Linked DNA regions of Arabidopsis thaliana. The protein of the gene in region 2 interacts with the protein of the main gene of each other region in a pairwise test. Each region holds a gene or a part of one and is shown on either strand. Other genes may lie near its edges.

Region 1 (9,628 bases), on a different chromosome or scaffold from region 2:
GAGACAATTACGTAACTAGATTCTTAATTCTTCTTCTTCTTTTTTTTTTTTTGAATATAACTAACTGTAGGATTTGTCAAGTTAATAGTTAGTGGCTAAGAATATTCGTTTTGGTTTAGATAAATTATAGTAGCATAATTTCATAACAATTTTAAACTATTTGTTTCAATTTTTTTAATTCCAATTAATCCTTGAATTTCACTGGCTTAATTGATTACTGAATTGTATATTTTTTTTTCTTAAAAGATATTCATTGAAATGATTATATTGAAAACCCTTAAAACATTAATAAGGTCGTTGTCAAATATATCAGAAAATAAATATATAAAAATTAATAAGACAAATACCCTTATTGCCTTTGTTTGAATGGGCCTGAAATATTATTATTAGGCTTAATCGTACAACTTAAAGTAAAAATTGTAATTGAAATTTAATAAGACAATACCCTTATTGATTTTAATGGGCCTGAAGTATTATTGTTGGGCTTAATCGTACAGTTAAAATAAGATTTGTAATTGGGCCTAGTGAAAGCGATTGGAGTGGATGATATCATGATAATATGATCAAATGACGTCAGAAGATCCAAATATAATTGTTTTATTAAGTTTGGCCTTTTCCCATCTGAAAAATCTAACACGTGGGAAAAAAATAGTGAATGAATAACTCTTTATCCCAATGATCAAAAAAAAATTGGGTAAAGAACTACAAAAAAAAATAAAAAACCCAAGTCAAAATTTTCAGATTGTGAATAATGGAATTCAAAAATTCCAAAGAAACATGGAACCATCGGCGTAAGTCTCTTCTCCAAGCTGATAATAATCTTGTGTAGGCGAAAGCTGCTCTCTGAAACGATCACCGGAGTATTCATCGGAGAAATCATCAAACCCAGGGAATAACCCAAACTCCGAAGCGAAGTTACCCGAACCAACCGTCGGAAGCATACTCAAAAACTCCGAATCAACGTCCATCGATGTTGAAGCAGATTCTTGCCGTATCTCGTATCCTGCTCCGCCACTTGAATCATCCTCCGCCGAATTAGCGAACCTCGCAGCAGCTTCTCTTATCTCAGATCGCGACAAGTTACGTCCGCCGGAGATCACCGGAGGATTATCAGGGAAATTGAACTTTGCGTTGTTGCCACGGAGACAATAAAGAGCCGCGTCGAAAGCACGCGCCGCCTTCTCAGGAGTATCGTAAGAGCCCAACCAAATACGTTCTCTGCTGTTGGGAAGTCTGATCTCTGAAACCCATTTTCCCCATTTCCTCTTCCTCACTCCTTTGTACTTTGACTGCATCGAAGAAGACGACCCTTCCATCACGATTAAACCAAACAAAGACGCGATTGAACCAACCCGGTATGATTTCTCTGTTTTCCGGTTTAATTTTGTTCTGTTAAGTTTTTTCAGTGAGCTCTGTTCTTCAGTGTTAGTGTTGATTTGAATTGAGATAATTGTATTTGGCGCTTCAGAAATTTATTTATACGAGTGAAATAAAAGAGTGAAGAGTGAGTTTTTGACTTTTTATGGCGCGTGAAGAAGAAAGAAGGTCAGCTTCAAAGGTCAAAGGGAGCGCGTTTGTACTTAAAACGCCGCAAAGTGTCAGGGGAATGGACACGTGGCGGATGTTACTAGAAGCTTGAGTCTTAATGTGTGTGGGTCACAACTCACACGGGAAATCTCAGAGACTGTTTGGTTTTCTTGTCCTTGTCCTTGTTTTTCACGTGATTCTTTCTTTAACTCCTCTCTTTTCGTTTTCAAACGTTGAAATGTTGAATATTTCGCTGCGTCTAGAGGATACTGGTATAAAAGAATCTGAAATGATCCCTGATTCTTAGGAGGCACTGAAGAGAAGAAGAAGAAACGACCAAAGATTCATGATTAATGAAGGTAATTGTTTAGTTACATTAACATTACATCTTAGTATCTCTGTATAAGATATGCTCCTCATAGACTTGTCAAGCATTATACTTGTTATACAAATATGGAAACAAGAAAGTACAACAACATCAAGTTAGAATGAAAAATCAAATCACTGTCCTATAAAAATGTTTATATACCGTGCAGTATCTTCTTCTTCTCAGTTTGTTGTTTGCAGTACATACACACAAAAAAAAACATGTACTTTGCGATGGCCTCGAATGATAATGTAAGTTGACTTGGTATATTTGCATCTTTTTATTTCTATCTGTTGAAAGAAGCTGCAGCAGAAGTGTCTTCATAGTGTACTTTCCAAGCATTTCCGCTGTCTGTTTCGCTGCAGGCTTGGTTTGTGGTTGGGATAGCTGCAAGATCTCCGTCTAAGCTCATTTGCTGAACTTCTACTGATGATAGTATCTTTATGTTCTGCACGCAGTTCACAAACTCTCTGTGGAAAAAACAAACAGACAAGAATTATCAGAATTGTTCAATCTTGACTGTTACAGATAGATTTTTCAGGTCTGGAACGTACTCCCAAGGATCATCACCAACTAGTAAAATATCGTTTTCGTGATCGGTGTAGACGAGTTTCCAATCAGAGGTTAGCGGATCTTCGAGCTGTCCTTCGATGCCAAACATTCTCGCTAAGTCATGCCTAAGTTCATCATAGCCGCTATAACGGGTAACATCTATTGATCTACCTACTGACCCTCGTTTTTGAACCTTCAATGATTTAACAACTTTCGGCATTTAGCATTCGAAAATTAAGAAGCAAAAGATTAGAGCTATGGAAAGGGAGAGAAAGATCTCTAACCTTTGTATATGTTCGCATTCGTTGAGTCTGATTGGGCCACAGTCCTCCACCATTCATGATTCCTGAATCATTGATGCCGCCAACCTCATTTGAACATCCGGGCTTAAAGGGAATGCTGGGAATACCAAATGACTGAGAACTGATTGCAGCACTGGACAGCTCCGTCTCAATGTCTCTTGGTGTGTTGCCATAGTTGGGAACCAAGTTTTGAAAGTCCTTTTGAGAATAGAGTGGATCAGAAGTTACGGCTTCGAGATTACCAGGGAAAGCTAAGTTGTTTCTTGGATGATGAGATTGGCAGTCTCCATCAAAACCAAATGATGGTAGTGGGAAAGTTTGTTGCTGCTGTACAGGGCCAACAACATCAGGACAGTACGTCGTTCCCGCTGTGGATACATCGATTTGATCTGTTACCGCGCTTTTAAATCTGAAATGTTCACCAGCACTCTTCATATTCATCATGCCTTGACTGATCCGGCTCTCAGTTTTTGTATAAAGCTCTTGGACCGGATTGCTTGCGCGCTCAAAGACTGAATCAGATGCAGATACAGATGCAGCTTGTCCTTGCTGTTGATTTCTGCTCAGGAAATTTGTCGGTGAAACATTATCATGTCCCGTGTTATTGGCGGAAGGTGAGGTTGAACAAGAAGGAGCTTCTCCATCTGTGTGGCCAGAATGTGATCTTCCAGCGGCTACAAGATTTTTGTTACTCATCTGTCCTTGCTGCTGAGGACTCACCTGAATCTGTGGAGGCTGCATGAAAGTTGAAGCTGGGAAGCTGTTATTACCATGTGCCAAGGGCTGTTGATTTTGAGACGACAGAAGTTGTTGCAATTGATGGCTTTGTGTCTGCTGCAACGCTGATAATTGTGGCTGTAAGGATGAGCTTACTGGAGGAATCGACTGCTGCTGTTGCTGCTGCTGTAGCTTCTGCAGTAGCTGCAACTGAAGCTGTTGTGAAGGACTTGGTTTTGATGATTGTTGTTGCATTTGGAGTTGCTGAGGATTTTGGGACAGATTTTGTTGTAATGAATGGAGAGAGGACTGTTCTTGCTGGTTTCTTAATAACTGGCTACTGTTATGCATTTCCAGTTGCTGCTGAAACTGCATTTCTTGCGCAAACGATGTCATTTGAGACAAGCCTTTATTCCCCATAGAATTTATGTTCTGGTGTGTCATTTTAGCACCAGTAGGGAGCATTGACTGCTGCTGAAGCTGAGACTGAGAGAATCCAGTAGGTTGGTTTGGACTTTGACAAGAGACTTGGTTAGCAACAGCAATCGTACCATTGTTATAAATCCCTTGTTGCTGCACCTGTTGCTGTGACATCTGTAGTTGTTGTTGTTGTTGCAGTTGTTGTTGTTGGTGTTGGTGTTGTTGTTGTTGTTGTTGTTGTTGTTGTTGAGATTTCACCATGGCTGGTTGTGCTTGCATCTGTTGGCTGATATGGTTAACCGTGTTCGGTTTGTTGAATTGGGAATTTGCGGAAGAGAGGTTTGGGGATTGGAAGTTCAACAGCTTGGAAGGGTCGTTGGAAGCAAAATTGTTTGGTAGGTTAAAAGATGAGAGCGCGGACGGGAGCTGAGGAGTAGCAGAACCTGACAATGGATTGTTTTGCTGCATACTCATCCATTGAACTAGACTTAAACCAGGGAACATCGAACTCTGTGCGTCCTTCATCCCAAAGTCTTCTCCCATCCAAGGCATTGCTCTTTTGAAAGCATTTTCCATGTCTAACTCATCATCTGCAACAAACCACCAAGGTTAGTATCCGGAAACTCAGTCAAAGATCTATGGGAAAAAAATGAACGAAAGCAGTAAACTCACCTGGCATCCCGGGTTGCCTCGGGTACTTAGGTCTGAAAAATGGAGGAGGACATATGTAAAAAGGAGTTATGACGGGTTCGATTTCCCATATGGATACTCGGCTTGGCCTATCTCCAGCTGTTGATTCATCCCATCCTACCTGTTTAAACCATGAACAAAAGATTCAGAAGAAATGACCATCATAAACAGTTTAGCATAACTCGGATATGTCATTACCTGAAGATTACGCCATTGTGAGCCTTTCCATCTTACAGGGTCAAGATCACTAATACCTGTGACTGTACCCATATATCTACGAACCCCACAATCCTCAGTCTCAAACATCATCCGGAATCTCATTCCTAGAGATACTTGAGCGTATAAGGCTTTGTTGTATTTGGCTAAAGGAACTACAAACTCTGAAGGACTTGCCCTTGGATTGAAGAAGATGGTAAAAGGGCTACTATTGGCATTAGCATGAGCTGCAGCTGCAAGTATCCCAATGTGCATACTGTCGCTGGATATGACCGATGAGGAAAGAGTCGGAGTTTGTCTATTTGCACGTCTTATACCCAACATCAGCTGTGATTTCTCATCTCTGCAAACCCAAGTACCCTTATGAGAAGATGAAAGTCCAATTCTGCTTAATGTTTTGATCAAAGTATGACTCATACCTTACAAACAAAACTGAATCACCCGCAAATAGTCTCTTTGTGCTAACAAAAACGCTCCAACCTGTGGTAAGCAAGTGTCTTTTTGGTTGGCCTGAGATCAGATTACATCAAAGAAAACAAATCAGGTTGAAGTTTTCAATCTTTTAGACTAATAAAACAAACTTTAGATGATTCAAACCTCGATAGATATGTCTGAAAGTCCATGTAGTATCATGTAAATCTTTAGCTACAATCTCTTGCGCAGGCGGTTGCATCGAGAAATCCTATTTTAAGCACCCTTAGAACTTTTAGCAAAACAGATTCAAAAGTTTGAAGCAAAAGAAACTGAGAGTAGCTTTGATCAGAGAGACATACAAGAGGAGGGAATATTTTCTCAGCTGCACGACGCGGTACAGAGAATCCACCATGAGTGCTTGTGTCACTTGCAGTAAGAGTCTTGCAAAAAAACTCAGTAGGTTGTCTGTTTAGCTTCAAGCCCATATCAGAAGCTAGCAATGCTTCTCTATCATACTGTCACACATTTTGAGCAAAGATCAGCATTAAAGTCCTCAACTTTAAACCAAGATAGCACAAGAAGAATGATATAATTCAGACCTTATTCACAGGTTGAAGAGTCATTTGTGCATAGACTTCATCTGTTTCGGTATCAGCCTGATTCAGAATTTCACAAAAGTCCTGATTAGTTCATCTTCTTGTTGATTCACAAGTTGGAGTCAGAAGAGACTTACATGTAATGTAACACTGTGAAGCAAGCAAATCAGCTTAGAAGGAAGATTTGGGTAATTTGGTATAAAATCTGTTTGCTTCTGCATCGATGCTGCAACCTGAAAAAAGGTTTCATTGAACATATTACTTAGATTGCTACCAAAGGTTTCAAAATAGTTTGAAACGCAATGAACTTACTTGCTCGCTGTGTCCTTGAGGGAAGTAAACCACAAGACTTCCCACAGGAGGTAATGAAACTAAAGGCCCTGCACAAGCGTGCCATAGTTGAGAATTGATTGGCTTCTTCTCTCCTGTTCATCATCATCACACACATATTCAAATCTGTTAAAAGTGATAGAATTTTTGCATAGTTTCATTTAAAGTCTGGAAATTTTATGAGCGGCATTTATGTTTCAACCACTTTATTAAATAAAGTGATAGAAGAACTCGATTTGTGACTTTGTGCTGACTCCAAAGTTGAAATTGAATAACAAAATTCATTTTTTCAATGAGAAAATCACAAACATGAAATGCAGAAACTCCTTGATGAAGAAATTGAATAGTATAAAATCTGGAAAAGAAGAAGATAAATATAAAGCTTGTGTACCTTCGTTGGAACTTGGAAGAAATCCATTTGATGGAGCTTTCATGGTTTATAGAAAGAACGAAAAAATTGGTTTGGTGCAGGGAAGAAACAGAGTTCTTCTTCTTCAGCAAAATTAACGAATCTGTATTTGCTCAAGAGAAGAGCACGAGAGAAACTAAATAGTAATAATTTTGGAAACAAAAATCATTCTGCTGCTAAGGAAAAAGAAACAAAAGCTTTTTTCTTCTTTTTAGTTCATAAGAATATTTGAAGCTTCAAAGCAAATTTTTAAGCTCTTAAAAAGCTTTGAAACTTTTCTTTTTTTTCTCGTGTTTCTGCAGATTCTCAAGTGTTTTTTCAAAAAAATAAAAACAATAATCGATATTGAGATTTAAGCCGATTGGGATCGGATACATGCGGAAAGATGAAATCTTTTCTTATGCCTTCTGACGTGGCACCCCACTTGATGTCTTCTTCTTGTCGGTCCCACCTTTTTTATTTCTTTTTATTTTTATCTTTTCCGATTATAATTTACTGTTGTTGGAAAAACAGTCCATGGTTTTAAAATCTGTTAACTTTCCCTCGTTTTTATAACCATATTTTTAATTTTTTACTTTAGTAATACGGATTTTCTTATGAATGAGGTTATACCATAAACCCGGATATATTGAGAAAAACCTAAGGATTAGGTTCGGCGGACCGAAAATTGCAAGCCAAATGGGGACTTAAATATTTTCTAATCCAAAGTTGTAAACTCTTGGTTACCAGAAAAGATGTCCCACTTTTTTTCTTTTATATACATATTTTCTGTTATAATATAGTAGTAGCTAATAAGTTTATTCATTTATATGGATTGGTCCAAATTGAGACATGTCCGTATAATGCGAGAAAAAAAAAAACACTACTAGTAATTTAATGACTTAATTATGATTAGAATAATATTCCTTTTGATACGCAATGGAGCACCCACTAGCCGCAAAAGGAGGAGAACTTCACATGTTTACAGAGCTACGGACATCATTATACTCCAATTAAAGCTAAGCCTTCATGTGTAATTATTAATTTTTCAGGCAATTATTTTATTCATCTTCTTCTTTTTTTAATCAATAGTATAAAGTGTTCGTTTTTGTTTTAATTAATGTATAAAGTTCTTTACAATTAATCTGGACCGGAGTAGAGTTGTTCCTTACTTTCAGCTCTCTACGTATGCATATAAAATGTAGTTGTAGAGCCTTTTTCCTTTCAACGCCGATCTTTCTTATGAATTTTGCTTTCAATTAACATATACTATAATAGTATTGTATTTCTGAATCTCAGTATACATGTATTTAGTGGGGGAGGTTTTGACCTAATTATTACCTTTTTGTTGATTTATATGTAATTAGGGATTTTCTATGTTTAGACAAACGGAAATAATTTGGAACATTTAAATATCTTTCGAGAACAACTCTGACTCTTTCCAAAGTAAATATTCTTCATTGATATCATGTCAATACATTCATTGAAAACATGATGTTATTTAATTAATATGAATTATATATAAAAGATTCAAATATATAGTTTATGTTTTGATCAAAACAGAAGAGGGTTAATAAATTAAAACATTTCACATGTAAAAGAATTCAAGTGGTAATCTTTTGGTGAGAACATATGAGATGATCACACCTCCAAATGGACATTAAACAAAAACCATAAGAGCTCATTAATATATGTTCAACTTATCGCGGTTAAACAAGAAATACCGAAGATTAGCCATGAACTTAGCAGTTTAATATACATCTCTTTCTAGAGTAATTTATAATTTACCACATGTAAATTGATTAACCAGACAGCTACATGTTTATAAATGTTAAACAAGAGATGAGGTGAAGCGATCTCAAGAGCCTTACCTAGTGAGCAAAAGAAAAAGGAATGTAAAGTTTGATAAGTTAGGTTTAAACATATATTATAGAGGATCAAAATTTGAAAAGATATGGGACGACAAAGTAAATCTCAACAAGAATAAAAAGTTGGCATGCTTTAGTGTTTTTTATGCCTTTTTGGGTCAATATTTGCTGCGCGTGGAGAGTATATGTACGTACAACAATTGATGTGTTTAGAAATCACTCCTCATCAAAACGAATTAACCATTCTAGTAGTAGTAACACTCAATCATTGTTGATATTTTTTTCACCTCCCACTATTGACTTTTATATCTATATAAAATTAAATTATAATTGGATTTGATCCACGCATCCTGCAAAAGTTTCCTCAAATACATACGCATGCACCATATATAACAAAAACTTGGGACTTTTGTGAATTCCTCAATTTCTACCACCATTACAGAAAGAGTCAATAAATATATCGTTTTTACTAAAATAACTAAAACACAAGAAAAATGTATGTGCACGTGAGTGTGGGTGCAGCATGCACGTGAGGTGTGGCAGAGGATGTCGGGAGAGACAGGCTCTAGACTCCGACCGAGTCTTTCGGTTTAGCCAAAATGGTTTTGCTTTTAAGTGAGTGTATGCCTCTATGTCTCTTCTCCTCATCGTAACCACACACACTCTCTCTCTCGTTTGTTCTACTATTTCCCAACCAACAATATTTTTTATTTTTCTGTTAACTGGAATTTAGACTATCTTAAAATCTTGTTTTGCACACTAGTTTAATGTTTCAGTAGTACAAAAGTACATATGTTCTAATGACGTTATCAAACAAGGTATAAAACCATGAAATTCTGAACCAAAATCAATATGAAAAAGCTGTGTATTTTTGACATAGAAAACGTTTCTAGCGGCTAATTATGATTGACATTATGGTGAAAGGAATTGATCTCTCAACCAATGTGGTAAATTTTTATACTATGAATCTTGACTATCATCTATTGGTTTAACATTGATGGTTCTCTCAACATTCTTCTTTCTTAACTTTTAACAAAAAAAATCTTTTATACAGTGTTGTGTCAGATTAATAAACCATAAATTTCATCAAAAATTAATTGGTTCAATGAAAAAAAAGTTCCTAATTAACTTTGACATTTTTCATGTGGTAATTTAATTTTTGACTCGTTAATCGATATAGTTGTTGTTACACAACTTGTGGGGAGAAATTTCACTTTACCCTTGATTATTCACATTTTTCA
Region 2 (6,490 bases):
TAAACTCTACATTACTCGACTTCATTTGTAATAATTAATATGTCTGAATTTTCAATGGACCTGGCCTATACTTAATTATATTTGGCTCTATAAGCTTATAATTCAAATCAAAAGTTATTCTTACTTTACATAAGAATAATTAAATTGTTAACTATATTGTTGGTGTATAATTACTTAATTAGGACCCATGAGGTTGCAATTTGTTTTAAGTTTTTTTTTTGGTTCAAAGTCATTATCATATTGCACGTTTGACCTTGGTTTTTGGTTATATATTTCTATAAAACGATCGGGAATACTATAATTATTCGAGTATAGATTAACTAGAATATGACACAAACATTGAGACAAATTATAAAATAGGATGAAATTTTCCTCTCGTGATCGGGAAAATTGGGTACAAATTACAATAACATAATGGCCATATGAATTAAAAGACCCATGAACATGCACATGCTCTTGTTCCCTACCCCTCTCATGGGTCCTGAATTTGATAAATTCCTCCCACAAAATTAGAGCGCAAAAGAGGTCAAATTATACTATTTGGAGGCATCAACGACTTACATAATTTATATGAGATTATTAATCTATAATATGAATACAATATATATATCTAATGATCCATCATCCATCCACCAGTAAGAACCATCAATAACTCGCAAGTCGTAACAAATTGTAAGTGAGTAACAAACATCCGAATATTAAAACTTTTATATCCTCTTTTGTAACTGTATCTTACTCACTTTTTTTTTAATAATGAAAACAAATTATATTGATTTCAACATATTTTTGAAATGATGACTAAATTAATCTTGTAAAGCCGCTACACATATAATCATCAGTTAGTTTAAAATATGACAGATTACGGACCACATGTCCCAAAAAATTAGGATACACAATTTATGATGAAATGACAACAAACCAACTTTAAATTCTACTTCTTATTTTTTTTGTGGGTTGTAGGATATGTTCAATTGTTCATTAAAGACTTCATCTAAAAGTCAATACATAATCAGAGTTTTTAAAACTAAAAAACGCTAGTAATGGTTAGAGAGTAGAATTAAAAAGCTAAGATTTTATTGGTAAAATAGTAAACATAACAACGAATTATTCATTTTGGGAAAAAACTATTAGATAACACACACAAGAAACGACAAGTAGCAGAGTAGGGATCAAAACACATGTACATGTACACACACCTACATACACACATTTATATGTATGCACATATCAAGTTGTGATTGATCATCAAACCGACAGACACATGTTGGGCAATAAATATGACACAAACACAGAGATATTGAAGTTTCCTCTCTTTTGGTCACATTACAAGTTTGTCCACATCTTACTGGTAAAATACTGCCCTATATACCCATCAAGTATTTAAAATTACAACACACATATATAGGTGATAGCCACATACAATCATAAAAATACATATAAAATCAAGAACCCGTCATATTGTTGATCATTGATGCTTCTTTTTTTTTATTATTAATTCAAGATCTGTTCTTGCAGTACTTCTCCATTGCTCTCGGAGCTATAACCAAGAAAACAGAATTATATTAAAATAAAAAGAAAATTGGTAAAAATTGAAAAACAAAAAAAAAAAAAAAAAGTTAGAGATGTACCAAGTCCAACTGCTTCAGATCCCTTCATAATGCGCAAACGTTTGCAAGACTCGACAAACATTCTGAAATAGGTATTCAAGTTTACGGTTAGAACATTAGAATATGAGTCGTTAACATTTAAAGTTTATTCTAAGGTTTTTGGCAATAATATGATGATGTGCCAGCTACGAATGAGCTCTAAACATATCGATACTATTGTATAATTTTTGAAAGATCCTCTTGTCTCTTGCCAACCAATGCATGGTTGTACGTATTTATAACACATGGATGTTGAATATCTTTGGCTTTGTCTCTACCAATTTCGGGAAATGTGGTTAACGAGTCAAGTTATAAGTTATAAAAAAAAGTATATGAAACGATTAAATTTGACTCACTCCCATGGGACATCGCCAACGAGCATCCAGTCACCATCTTTGTCCTCGTAGCTTGGCACATACTCAGAGCTATTCAGCAGATTCATTAGCTTGCTCTCGTTCATGAAATCTATCATTCCTTGTGCTCCATAGTTTCCTTGAAGATATTCAAGACATTCAAAAATCATATAAATTTATGTGTCATTATTGTGTAATATATATAATACATATTTAAGTTGTATACATTTAGCAAAATCTCATCTTGTTAATATGTATAGGGTTCGAATGTATAGTTCTATGACTCTAACTCGGTAAGGTTCATGAGTTTTGTATGAATAAATGTAGTAAATGATATACTTTAATATACGAATATAGTTTTTTCACACTTTCCGATTTGAAATTTCTAATACGTACCCATAGTAAAGGAGCTGAACATTTTGGCCAATGCATCAGAAAGATCCTGGTAGCTTTTGTACATCTTGAGGTCAACTTTCCTCAGATATGGAGCACCGTCCATGGAGACCTTCACCAAGCCGGCTCCGGCTGCTCCTCCACCAAAGTTCCCGGCCTTCTCACTGCTGGCCTCCTCCGCACCACTACTGGTCTTCTGCTGAGTCATCATGTTCTTCCTGTAGTTCCTCACAGGTGGCCATCCCACCACTTGTGCTCTACATAGAACAACATTATTTAGATAGGTGTATATCAACCAATGTAATTATTAGTTACCATTACTGCCTTTATGGGCTTGATTGTAAGTTATAACATGTATTATTTCATGTTTGCTTGTACGCATGTATGTATTGGTGTTTAAGTTTCAACCACGCTTTAATTATTATTATATTATTTCTTAGTATTATATTGATAGAAAACAAATATAACTTCAAAGAATCAAAGTTATGCATATAAATTTTAACAAAAAAAGGTAATGTATATGGGAAGTATATATATATATATATATATATATATATATATATATATAACTAACATTACAAATTTCAAGAATTTTTAGTTTATTCATATGTTTATGTAAATCCCTCACAATATTTATGTTCTGCGAGGACATATAACTATGAAATTTATATATATTCGAATATTCTAAGAACTTAGACATAGATGTGTATAAACACGTATATATGTATATATATGGACTGGAAAAAACTAAGAACTTTTTAACCAAAAAAAAAAAAAATCTAAGAATATATATATATGTAAATGTGTAGCTTACTTAGCAGGAGGCTTAGAAGGATCTTTAAGGGTAGTCTTCTCCTTGGGAACAGCAGAAACGTTTTTGAGATCAACGGAGCCTTCTTTGTTAGATTGAAGATTGAGCATGAGATCAACGGTTTCGGAGAAGCCTCTCTTGCTTCCCACCGCCGATTTGGCAGGACTCTCAACTGCTTCAGCGCCGCCGGGGAGGCCGAGACAGAGCTCCGTGGCCTTGAGGTTCATAAGTTGGCCGATCATGTTACTTGTAATAGATTAGAAATATTGTTTCTCTCTCTGAAAAGGTAAGAGGGGAAGAAGAAAGGAGAGGAAGGGGCAATAATAATATAAGGAGGGAGGATGGTGGTGGGGTGTATGTATTCGTGTAATTGCATGTGCATGTCTTTTGCTCTTTTTTCTTCATTGGTGGGGTTTATGACACGTGGGCTTGATTAGATGTTAGTTAATCATTTCTTCTCTGTTACTACAAAATTAAGCTAAGATAATTTTGTTTTGTTAATCTTCCATCTAGAAAGTTTTGAATGGTGACCGGGAAATTATGTTTTAATTAACTACGAGGATCAGGTCACATATTGATCATGATATGTAATGTAATTATTGTAGAACCGCGAAAATCCGGAGAGAAAACTTTGAAAACGATTACAAAGATTCCAAAAATATGATCATTCTTATTTTTGTGACAAACTTCACTGAAAAACTCGCCGAAAAGTTAGCCGGAAATACTTTGTAAAATTGAAGTTCCAACAGTTACGTGGTAGTGATGTTTTGTGATACTATCCGAATTCAAATAGTATGTATGAAGTCAAGTTATTCTTGACAATATATATATATACATATATGATATATTTTATAAAAGACTTTGGTATGATAATAAAAAGATGGGACATATTTCTCATATCTTACCAATTTGAAGAAAGAGATGATCTATGAGAATATTGAGAGCAACATATCTCTTACATAACCAAGTCATCTTGCTCCAATAGTAAAAGAGTGAAAAAATTTGCCACTTGAGTTCATGTAATATTGGCCATCATGGTTCGAATTCTAACATTAGTTTTTCCGAATCTCATAATTGGTGTTTGGATCTAAAAGTATTTTAGCATCATCTTTGTTATCAAAAAATAAAAAAAAAGACATATATATCTCTCACATCTTACCAAAATTTACATGTAATGTTTGCTTGACTTTTCGTATCTAATAGTCGGACTAAACCAATATGGGTCTTTTGACTCTGACGTAGTACTTATCATCGACAAATTTTCCTAAATAGCACATTAGATCACATATATTGGTTGTATAATTGTGTTCAGCATTTTTACTTAGAAATATATACAAACAAACTACAAAAAGTTTTGTTTGTTCTTCTCGTACGGTTCTGACATTTTTTTTAAATTTATTTGGTTCTGACATTAAACATACATTATAGTTCATAGTGAGCTACATCGTCTATTCTGGAGTTTCAGGATGTAGTTTGTTTATAAATTTGTAATGGTTGGGTTAGGTCATGTAGTTTTAAACATATTTCAGCTGGTTCTACCACTCTGTGTAGCTTTAGTATTTTAGCATTTGTACTATGACTCTATGAGTCAATACAAAGCTAGCATATAACTAGGTAGTATATAATACTTATATAGTATGAAACGAATTCAGATTGTTTGTTAAAGAAGAAAAGAATAAGTTCTCACAACATGTCTATATATAAACTATGAATGTATTAATTACTTCTATGTTTTGTTAATAGCCTATTTGTTACACTTTGTCTCCTCTGGTCAACTGTTCATCGCATATAAAGCAAGTGGAATTGGGCGGTGAAATTCCGTTAACCAAATTTGGTCAACATTCTAATTAGTTTGTGTCAAGCAATACAACTATACAAGTCACGTATATTATTTTAATTGTTTACGGTCTCCCGTTTTCTCTGTATCATCTTGGTTATTAAATGTGTCTTACTAAAAAATTAAAAATAAAAGAATAGTACTACTCATTAATAAGCATAGACATTTGTGGTATATAAACAGAGAATCTATTAATTGGTCTAGGTACATGTTCTTAGTGAGGACACTGAGTGAAGACTGACATCGATTTTCTTCTTCCCAACATAAAAAATGAACTTAATGCTTCTTTGTAATGTGAAAAGACTTGTAATTTTTACAGATGAAATCAAGGGCCATTGCATCATGGCTGACGAGACTGAGGAAAGTTCCTGTATTTTTACACTTAATTTTGTGATCCGTTTTGATCAAAAAAAAAAATTGTGATCCGTTTTATATATACATTTGATGCGCAACCAATCGAGTGAAAATATGTGAAATTATGTAGTTTTCTTAAGAATCGAGGCTTTTGAAACTTAAATATTTATGATTAGTTCTATTTTGCTAAACGAACCGAAACGAATATCAAAATTAAAACACAGGGAACATATAATTTGTCTAATCCTACTAATTAGCAGTGTAGTCGCTAACGTTTTACAGTAAGTGGGACGTGGTTTTATGAACTCAAACTGTAGTTACACGTGCACATACACATATTGTAGAAACTTGGATTTTGCTAACGAAGGAGATAATTGTACCTTTCATAAAATTACGTATTTTTTATACAAAAGAGTTATATGTCATTTGGGGGGAAAACAATGATTATGGGAAAAAGCCTCATTATTGAAAACATCTGGAATTCTTCTAACCACCATAAAATTAGACGAAACATCTTTTCGTGAATTAGTGTCATATTCTTTCACGAGTGGCCGTAATCCTATGAATTGAAAGCCCACCACTGATTTTTTATCCGGTTCAACCGGCAAGATTGACATGTTTTTAGCTATATTTGCCTTTAGTGATTAGAGTGTTATGAGTTCTTGACATTCTATTAATCAAGTGTTTGATTTGAAATCTAAATTAACTAAACAAAAAATAGACACCATATTAATATCATAGTTCCCAACCGTCACTACGATTACGAACAGACTGCACCAAAACGCTCTTAATTATTGCACCCCCAAAACTTTGATATTTAACGTAGACTTGTCGGTTTCTTTCAAATATTCTATTTCAAGACTTACCATTAATTTCAATTTATAATCAATTTTATAGAGCAAAAATTATTATACACTACATTAGATCTGACTTTTTGTTATCACTCATACAAAACTTGACCATAAATCCATGAAAAATCTAAGAGCATTGTACAAAAATTGAGCCAAAACCATTTTTTAATATTCCGTATGTCTAATTTTTAGCTACTTGAATTAGTCTTAGTCTTTTATGGATTAAAAAAAAATTACATATTTTG

What was found. Proteins that work in one complex are often made in the same cells at the same time.
Region 1: the proteins of IAA7 (region 2) and ARF19 interact in binary tests that used the Arabidopsis thaliana proteins (3 or more experiments, as listed by UniProt).

Annotation. Positions count from the first base shown.
Region 1 is NC_003070.9:6,626,215-6,635,842, forward strand, and holds ARF19 (auxin response factor 19), read right to left. Parts: upstream 6,920-9,628; 5' UTR 6,566-6,919; coding exon 6,523-6,565; intron 6,227-6,522; coding exon 6,114-6,226; intron 6,035-6,113; coding exon 5,939-6,034; intron 5,862-5,938; coding exon 5,805-5,861; intron 5,721-5,804; coding exon 5,565-5,720; intron 5,474-5,564; coding exon 5,389-5,473; intron 5,302-5,388; coding exon 5,211-5,301; intron 5,135-5,210; coding exon 4,774-5,134; intron 4,697-4,773; coding exon 4,558-4,696; intron 4,476-4,557; coding exon 2,731-4,475; intron 2,640-2,730; coding exon 2,449-2,639; intron 2,365-2,448; coding exon 2,181-2,364; 3' UTR 1,469-2,180; downstream 1-1,468. Other genes in the region: AT1G19210 (Integrase-type DNA-binding superfamily protein), read right to left, coding at 759-1,316. UniProt on the Arabidopsis thaliana protein: Auxin response factors (ARFs) are transcriptional factors that bind specifically to the DNA sequence 5'-TGTCTC-3' found in the auxin-responsive promoter elements (AuxREs). Could act as transcriptional activator or repressor.
Region 2 is NC_003074.8:8,191,723-8,198,212, reverse strand, and holds IAA7 (indole-3-acetic acid 7), read right to left. Parts: upstream 3,608-6,490; 5' UTR 3,446-3,607; coding exon 3,207-3,445; intron 2,650-3,206; coding exon 2,396-2,649; coding exon of another isoform or gene 2,385-2,395; exon of another isoform or gene 2,139-2,384; coding exon 2,003-2,138; coding exon of another isoform or gene 1,999-2,002; exon of another isoform or gene 1,691-1,998; coding exon 1,629-1,690; intron 1,538-1,628; coding exon 1,497-1,537; 3' UTR 1,058-1,496; downstream 1-1,057.